2 linked regions of the Arabidopsis thaliana genome follow. The protein of the gene in region 2 interacts with the protein of the main gene of each other region in a pairwise test. Each region holds a gene or a part of one and is shown on either strand. Other genes may lie near its edges.

The links. Proteins that work in one complex are often made in the same cells at the same time.
Region 1: the proteins of AT5G27810 (region 2) and AT5G54360 interact in a two-hybrid assay, tested with the Arabidopsis thaliana proteins (one large-scale study listed by BioGRID).

The regions. Positions count from the first base shown.
Region 1 is NC_003076.8:22,069,142-22,074,360, forward strand, and holds AT5G54360 (C2H2-like zinc finger protein), read left to right. Parts: upstream 1-2,720; coding exon 2,721-3,533; downstream 3,534-5,219. Other genes in the region: AT5G54350 (C2H2-type zinc finger protein), read left to right, coding at 994-1,779.
Region 2 is NC_003076.8:9,853,241-9,858,263, reverse strand, and holds AT5G27810 (MADS-box transcription factor family protein), read right to left. Parts: upstream 2,594-5,023; 5' UTR 2,438-2,593; coding exon 2,078-2,437; 3' UTR 1,806-2,077; downstream 1-1,805.

The DNA.
Region 1 (5,219 bases), about 12 Mb from region 2:
ATATATATATTAGAGAAAATAAGTGAAAAATAACATCATTCCATATAATAGAAAATATAATCTTGTATTACTTAGCTTATTAATACATTTTTTTACATATCAATTAATATTTTTTACATATTAATTGCTATATGAAATAACATGAAGTTACCAGTTTGCAACGGTCGATATAACGAACTGAAGCGTAACATTTTTAAAAAAATTGAAATGAGTTAGTGTTTTTTTTAATTTACTTTTACACATAATGACGTATACTATAACAATTATAGATATATTTTAGCTAAGTAGATAAATTTTAGATTATACAAAGCCAGTTGGTATGCACACAAAATTATTATTTTGGAAGACAAAATGTATAAGATCACCATGGTTAGAAAAACAACCATATTTTCTATCTTTCATTGGAGTTATATATAACACATCATGTAAACAAAATCTAGTCAAATTTGAAATATATTAATTAAATTGGTGTATTTTTAACATATGAAGTATCATTTTAGAAAACAGAAAGAACAAAGTCAAGATAACTAGAGACACACGTACTTGAAATCATGAGTAAATAAATATTAGATTATACAAAGCCAGTTGGTACATAATGCACACCAAATTTTAATTTGGAAGACAATGTATAAATCAACATGGTTAGAAAAACAACCATAACTTTTAAAACTATGGATAATTATTCATAGTAGTTATATAACACATAACTTCATATAAACAAAATCTAGTCAAATTTGAAATATATTAATTAAATTGGTGTATATTTAAGAAAGAAAAAAAAAAGTCAAGATTGTTAAGAGGCACAACTATTTCTTTTAAACAAAAAACAATGAATTCAAAGTAGATTTACTGTTACAATTAATGCTATTTGCTCTTGGAGATTTTATACCTTAGCGAGTGCAACACAGTAATTAAATCTCTCAATATATACCATACGTCTCCGGAGAGAAGAAATCACTCACTTCTAATTCTCATCAAAGTTTTACAAAAAAAATGGAGAACCAATCTGTGTCTTCTTCAAGCTCCTCCACCACCCCAAAAAAACCTGATCAAAAACTCAAAAGTGCCGTTGTGACCGTGGAAGAGAAGGAGACAATGAACAATCCGGAACAAAGGCCCCCTCAAGAGGTTGTGTTTGAAAACACGATCCCTGACCCTGAGTTGCCTGTTTTCACATTAGAAGTTGTCCGAACGGAAAGAGATAACGAGCTAAAATATCCTCCAAAGGATAAAAATCTCGACTCGGTGCTTTCTGGTGGTACTTCTCTTCCGCCTTTCCAAAGCTTTCCAGTGCCCTCTTTCGGCCTCTTTGGTCCAGCGTATGGCGGTAGCAGCTCAACTAATGATATTAATCTGGATCTCACTCTTGGTCCATCTTCTTGGTCTAACACTAACCCATCTTCTTGGTCTAACACTGACCCATCGTTCTATCGAAAATTGTTCACTCCCGTGCTACCTTGTGTGCCTAGAAACAATTTTGTTGCTGGAAACCCGGTTGGTTCAAACACTAGGTATATTCCTCCGAATGGAAACAACAATGTTTGTCATGATTTTTTTTTTTTACAGGGGAATAGTTCGGCCTCTACTCACTCGAAAAGTCTCTTCTCAATGGGAAAGAACCAAGCCATGGTGCGTCATTTTGCTTTATCTTATCCAACCACCTATTATTGTTATGATTTGTTTTCTTTACAAGGGAATGGTTCGGGAAACTGGCCACTCAAGTCTCATCTCAAAGTGGGAAAAAAAGTCAGGGTGCCTCCTTTGGCTCCTCCCTATTGAAACAACAATCATGATTTTTTTTCTTTACAGGAGAATGGTTCGGGATCTAGTCACTCGAAAAGTCTCTTCTCAATGGAAAAGAACAAAGCCGTGGAGCCTCCTGTTGCTCCTCCTAATGGAACCACCGATCTTCTGTTTCCTTCACCCGAGAATGGTTCGGGCTCTAGTCACTTAAAAAGTCTCATCTCAAAGGGGGAAAACAAAGTCGTGGTGCCTGAAAATGATGATGATGATGATGATTATACTGATACTACTATCGGGAGGATAAGGTGGTTGAACAAGAAAAAAAGATCAAGACCAGAGTAGTAATTTATCTATGTCCCTTTGATTTTTCAGTTTTCTATTGAGGCTTATGTTCACCTCTCTTTTTTTTTTCATGCAATTGTTTCTTCGTTTCGTTTCAAATAATCTCTGTTGTTTCGATTAATTCATCAGTCCCTTTTGTTCAATTCCTATATCTCATGATTGCTCTAAAATTCCTGCAATTTTCAGAATTCATGGCCCAATTATTCGTAAGCAAACGTTATTTTTTCAAAAGGTTAAAGAGGTTAAAGAGACATTAAAGAGACAAAATGTATAAAATCACCATAGTTAGAAAAACAACCATATTTTTAAGAATATAGATAACTCATAGTAGTCATACGTAACGCATATGAAGAATATTGATTATATTGTTGTGTTTTTATCTTATGAAGTATCATTTTCTAGAAAGAAATTAAAGAATAAAGTGAATGACAGTTGTAGTCTTGGAGAAACAATTATTGCTTTTAAACAAAATTAAGTAGTTTTACGGTATCAATTAATATTTGTTACCCTTGGAGATTATATACCTTAACGAGTTAAATACAATAATTACTATCCTCTCAATAAATATCGCCTCTAAGCAAAGAGATAAGACATCACTCACTTCTAACTGTCAGCAAAGTTTTACAAAACAAATTATGAACAACCAATCTATGTCTTCTTCAAGCTCCTCCTCCCCACACAAACATGATCAAAAACTCAAAAGTGCCCTTGTGGCCGTGGAGGAGAAGGAGACAATAAACAATCCGAAACAAAGGTCTCCTCAAGAGATTGTGTCTGAAAGGACAAACCTTGAGATGCCTAGTTTCAGATTAAGTTTTTTCCGAAAGAAAAGAGATACCGTGCTAATACATCCTCCCAAGGATAACAAGATCAGCCACACCTGTCGTTTCTGCAAGAGGAATTTCAAAAGCTGTTTTGCCCTAGGCGGTCACATGAAGTGCCACAAAAAGGAACGAGAATTGGAGAAGCAGCGAAAGATAATCGAGGATGCGATGCTTTGTGATAGTACTCCTTTCACCTTGCAAAGGCTTCCTGTTGGCCCTTGTAAGTATGGCCAAGGTGGTAGCTCACATGCTTTATCAACTGATGGTATTAATCTTGATCTAACTCTTGGTCCATCCAAGTCCACAGGAGGCAGCAACAATAGCACTAATAACAACACTAACTCATCGTTCCATGGGAATCTAATGACTCCCGTGGGTCCTTGTGTGCCTAGATACAGTTTGGTTGCTGGAAACCAGGTTGATTCAAGCAATATACATGTTCCTGCTTATCCAACCACCGATCTTTGTTATGATTTTTTTGCTTTACAAGAGCATGGTTCGGGCTCTAGTCACTCAAAAAGTCTCATCTCAAAGGGGAAAAACAAAGTCATGGTGCCTGAAGATGATGAGGATATCGGGATGATAAGGTGGTTGCCCAAGAAAAAAAGATCAAGAGGAGAGTAGTAATTTATCTATGTCCCTTTGTGTTTTTCAGTTTTCTGTTTTCTATTGAGGCCTATGTTCACCTCTTCTTTTTTTCATGCAATTGTTTTTCTCTTTTTGTTTCTTTGTTGTCTTTTTGATGATTTTGATGTTTCGATTAATTCATCAAATCCCTTTTTCAATTCCTACATTTCATGATTGTTCTTAAATTTTTGAGATTTTCAGAAGTCATTTTCGTAAGCGAACTTAATTTTTTCAAAGGTTAGAGAGAATCTGCAATTTGCTTAAAAACATTAGTTAAAGAGACATTATCTCTTCATTGACAATTTGTTAGCCTTGGAAAATTGAAAAAAAAAAATAAGAGGCAGAAAGAAGGTCTATCTGATCTTCTATTGTTGTAATTGTAACCTCACAAAAAAAAAAAAAAAAAAAAAAAAAAAAAAAAAAAAAAGAGGCAGTGGTTTCCTTTTGACGATTAGGGTTTCGCTGGTTCCAGTTTGCCCGGTTTTCTTCCTTGACCCAGATCCGATTTACTAGATTGTATTACAAATGTAATCATCTTTCAGGATATTTGTAACAAAAAGATACAACTGTTATCCAATAAAACTGTTATTTTTTTTATGTATTAATATAATCTTGTAATCCTAGTAAGAATTTATAAAACTTAAAAACCTGTAAGGCTGTAACTGATGTTTGCATCTCCATTCTCCAAAGATCTTTTCTATTGAACAAAAATCAAAACTATTTTTGTTTCTCTTGTTCAAGAGAAATCTCCTTTTAAAGATAATTTCCTGAAGACATTTATTCCATAGTATGAAGATCGAGGTCTAGAAGTTGATAGTATTGAAAATTGTCTATTGGATCAACTGGATTGTTTTCTCAAACAAATGAAAGTCAATATTGAAAAACACAAGTGCTTTTTCTTCCAAGCAGGAGATTGATAATTTTGCATTTGGAGCTTGTGCAGATCATTTATATATTAATTTAAGTTCGTGAAGATTTAGGTTTATGGTTGTAGATACCTCACACAAAGCTTACATAGTAGTTACATAGGAATAATACCGAACATCGTCGCTTCATTTGAGATGTTGGGTTGATAGACCCAACAATAAAATCATCCTAAAAGAAGTAAGCTACGTACTTATTATTTATAAAGGCTTGTCCTCCTCCCTTCCTTAAAGCCAAAGCCAACTCTTTAAGTCTCGCTCTCACTGCTTCTGGCGAAAGCTCAAGTTGAGGATGACCTCTCAGAAAATCATCGCTTCCATTTCCATATTCCTCAGATTCAATCTTCTTAAAGCACATATACAATAGCAAAACGGAATCTAGAATTTTATATTATAAAAATGTTGCCACGATTTTTACCAATATCTTATTCAATGTCGACCAAATTAACTATTGAAACCCTAATATCACTGCTTTTATGGAAGTTTGTTTTTCTTGTTCAATCATCGTGGTCTAGAAGTTGATAGCATTGAGAGTTGCTATATGATGAAACTTTATAGTTTTTGCTAGACAATGAGAGTCAATATTGAATACATGAGGAATATGAATACTTCTCAACTTGCAAATTTGTATTTTTACTTCGCAAATTAACAATCTTTTATGAAATTTTAAACAAGTTTTTTGAAAACATCAACATAGATGGAAAATCTGACTAGGAATTTCACAGAAATATGTAAAATCGATTTCTAAGTTCTTGTTGTT
Region 2 (5,023 bases):
TTGCATCTGACATCAACTAAAAAAATATTGTAAAAACAGTCCAATGATAATCAAAACAGTACCATGACAATACTCTTTGGCTATCAGATGAACTCAAACATTTCTAAAGTATTTGCACATCTTGGCGCTCCTCCTTTTTCAACAAACAACAATCTTTTCCCAAGGCGACCTCTCATCCACTTCAATCACATCCCCCTAATGAGACTCTACTACACGATCATGGATAGAGTTTCAAAAAACAATACATGGCCGTGTAGTAGGGTCTCGCTATGGAGGATGAGATTAAAGTGAATGAAAAGGCGGCTTGGGAAATGATTGGTCCTTGTCACGTCGAAAACAAAGTAGCGCTAAGATGTGGAAATGCTATTGAGATGTTTGAGTTTGACAACGGAAAACAATCAGACGACAATCAACTGGAGGAGCTCCTCCGGTAATTAGACAAATCTAACATTTCTATCAGTTTCCCTACTATGGTTGTTTGTGACTTGTGAATCAGATAATATATATATATATATATATATATATATATATATATATATATGTTTGTACTTTAAATAAAAACCTAAAAAGCATAACAATTTATGCTCCACATGGTTGAGTTTTAAACTTTTAAAGAAATAATAAAATATAAAATCAAAATCCACTCATTCCCATAAATGAGAATGAATACATTGACTAAATGAAAAATATTAGTGCTAAATTGCTAATGAATATCCATTCATATTCTATTTGATTTTATACCATTAATGGTTTTCATATTTCATCACTTGTGGGATAAATGTATATCTTTGTCTGGGCTTGAAATTTGTAGCATTAACTAGGTATTGATATGTTACACCATGGGATGATTTGTTTTCTAAAATTTGTGATTTTAATATGATTATGTATTTTATATAAAAGTTTGCAAATAATTTATGCATGATTGTCATTAAGTAATAGTATACTGCATGATAATTTTTTGTTTTATATAATCTCTACTAGATCAAGTTGATTTGATATGTCAGAAGGTGTTAAAAAATATTATTGATGGTGTTAAAAATAAATTTATTATGATTTTAAAGTTCAAGTGTGTGTTGATAAAATACTTAAAAGGATTTTGTTTTTTGATAGTCATGATTAAAATGTTTTTGTAATGTAGTTTGTTTTGCTTCGGAGTTGATATAGCTCAAATTGCCTTATGCTTACTCCCACAAATAAGAGATCGTTGTTAGCACTTAAGGGTCAAATTCCACTAAGCTCTCGTTGTTAACACAATAAACTTATGATGACTAATATTAAGCTAGACAAAGTAGATGAACCTAAAAGACAATAAAACAGTAAATTGAGTTGTAGGTTCACAAGACTTTTAAAATGGTTCACATAATATTAAAGGGTTTACAAGAGTTTTTAAAAGAATTTTAAATGGTTTACAATATGTTAGGTACATTAACATTTCAGTGTATATTATTGATTATATATTATATAATATTTGTACTTAACACTTTAAACGAAAATATTTTCTTTTTTAAAATGTGAGCTGTCATATTTTATATTTGAAAGAAAAAATATAAAATCTCAACAGTTCTAAAATTGAAAAGAAACCTTAAATCTAATCTGCTCAAAATGTTATTAAAGAATTAATAAAGGTAAGACATATGTTGAAAAACAACACATAAACGGAAAAATGAAACAATAAAAATAAGAGTATCACAAATCTCTAAATTTAAAAACAACATATCATTGTGAAAATAGAATGAAAAATATCACCATCATCAAACTGATAACAATAAAAACATAAATTGTGATGCAATCTATTACATGACAAAAAAACTGAAAGCTAATTATAAATTCACTTATCAATCCATTCTCGAAATTATTGTAATACCACATTAAATAAAATCCTAACGAAACCATTTATTATTGGAAATACTTAGAACAAGAACTATGTACGATATCGCTTGAGTTGCCGACATCAAGAGCGATGGAAGATTCTCCAGGGATATGATGTTGGTGCTCTTGTTGATGACGGTGGATGTGGTTGTGTTGGCTATCATCCATGAATTGAAACGCCATTTGCTCTCCTGGATACTTCATTTGCTCAAGATGGTTCATCATTTTCATAAACCATTGTTGTTGATTCTGATTGTGATTCTGATTTAAGCATCTCCATGTTTCCAATTAAGCATCGAAACATGACTTCAGTCATCTCGAGCTCCTTATTGTCCTTTCTTTGTCTCCTCAAATTCTCTGTCGGTTTCGCGATCCTTTGTTTGAGAAAACCTTCTTGATCTACCATCTTTTTGTGTTGATCCATTTCCGGGAGTGTCCTAAATTCGGAAACCACTCTTTGCACACCAGAATTTGATGGCCACACTTCATGACTGGTATCATACGGACTGTAGATGATCGCACACGATGTGATGCCACATAGAGTTGAGAGTTCATGTACTTTCTTCATCAACCCCTTCTTTCTTTTTTGAAAGTTGCTTTTCTTGAAGAATCGTTGGAAATGAAAGCAAGTTTCATTTTATTTCTCGTCATTAAAATGTTTTTTTGTATATTTTGAGATTGTTAATGTGTAGTATTATGTAGTACTGAGAAGGTACAAATATTTGTTATATAGGGTATCTTTATTTTAATACAAGAAAATATAAACTTCCAAATCAAGCTTTAATGCATGAACATTATAAAAAAAATCTGAATGGATTGAAGATAGAGATTATAACCGTTTTTCTTATTTACTACATGTATTATCACTACTGATTGACATATGTAGAACTATAGTCCAAATATTTATAGAGTGGTAACATCAAAACAATAAAATAGGATAAAATGTTTAGCTAGCAAATTTAGTTTTTAACAGCAAAAATCATCAATAAATATCAATCTGGTAATGTTATTTAAACATGATGCAACTAATATAATTATTTAATAATATATATAATTTTCAAATATTGTGATGATTAATAAGATATGGTATTAAAAGGTAGTCAAAGATTTGTTTCAAAATATTTTTGTGATTATTTCCCTTGCTGGAGACATTGAATCTCGGTTGTTGACTGGTAAATTAATCATGAACTATTTACCATATAGATAATTCTTTAAGAAATCAGTTTTTAAATCTCTTGATTTTATATATATATTAAAAATAGGTTAGCAAAATTACAATACCCATCGTAAAGTTTAAAAACTTCATAAGTAAAGGCATGTAAAACTAAACTACATTTCTTAAATGAAAAAAAAAAGTATAACGAGGGTGGTAAGTTGAAGGATAAAATGTTAACGAAAAAAGAATAAAATTTAGAAGAGACATGATGAGAAAAAAAAAATTGTATCCAACTTGTGATGTTATCAGAAGATTACAAGATCGCAGTCTAGCAAAATGTATATAAAACTATATTTAAACTCGCGGTATATCGGGGGAACAATTTATTTTTTAAATTAATATATATATTGTAAATTGTATCTATTTATAAAATATTTTTATTTTATAGTTTATAATTATTATTACGTAACGTCCTGCCAAACCCGTCCCGCCAACCTGTCCTGTAAAGAAAACTCATTTATTTTATTAATGTTGACCTTATTTATGATATGTTTATGAATTATTGTCTAAATATTTTGTAATTTTGTAGTAATTACATGCTATCAAATATCTCTGCGATTTGATGATTATAATCATGCAGAAAAGCAACATCAAAAATGATAATTTTGTAGTAATTAAATGATATTAAATATTTTGAAAGTTTTATTTTAGTAATTAATCGTGTAGTTAAGGTAGAAAGATTTTAAGAAGATTGTTAAATGTCAAATATTTAATTAGAAGATTTTCTTTCTAATTATCTAAAATAATTATTAAATGTCAGTGGCAGCCACTGTAAATAAATCCCAACTCCAGGATTTATTTTACAAAGTGGCTGCAAAAATGTATATGTAGATAATTAGAATAAACTAAGTGGTGAATGGTGTATATTATAAAGAACTTATAAATTGTTATGCAATTTAGTAAAATATTTACACAATATTTGGTGATGGTTTTTTACCCATTTTTCCTATAATTTGTGAAAGAAAAAAACAAAAAATGTTATGATATTCAATGTATAAGTTATTAATGGGACCGAATTGGCCTTGCCAGCATATTTGATTATTTTCTAGTCCTGAGATTTTGGCTAAACCGGGTTGTTCGGGTCGGGTTATTCCTTAACTTTTTTTTTTAACATCAATTTTTTCTTCTTTATTTATATTTCTTCTATTTGGATGATACATTTATTTTCTATCTCTCTGAACTTATTTGCTATTAACTTTTTGCAAAAATTAATTGAAATCCCTTTTCAAACTTCGTTGAGGCTATGATTTAAAATTTTAAAATATAACTTAAGACATATGTATGATTTAATAAAACGTATCATTCTCTTTGTTTATTTGATTATTTTTAAGTCATCCGCAATGCCTACAACAACGACGCTTGCAAAAAGTTCGTTTTCATCACCTCAAGATCTTTTTTTTTTGGTTTTTTATGTCTCCATAAATATATGACAATATTAGTATATTACTTACGTAATTTATCTTTTTATCTTCGTGTAATATATATTGTTTCTCTTCATCAATATCATTTTATTTATACTTTAATAAACTGGTACTGAGAGTGAGTACACAAAGACATAATGTCAGTGAGTGAAAGAGAGAAATTCCCCCGCTTTCTAAGGCAACTTTGCCTCAACAAACTTTCTTCTTTTTACCCTACACTTATTTTTCACGCATGCATACATTTTTAATAACAATGACGTGAGCCAAAATCGTTTATTCAACTTTTTGTTTTACATTATTACTATTACACTCTCCTCAATTTGCTTTTTGAAACATATATCAAGGTTTCTTATCCATTTATACATCTCAAATTTTGAATGTATTACTTAAAAGTAAATAAATAAATAAAACAGATAGTGTCTGTCAGAGTTAACAACAGTCTTGAAACTTGAATATTCCGATATCAATATATCATTCATGTAAAGTAAAACAATTTTACTAAACATAACAGAAACAA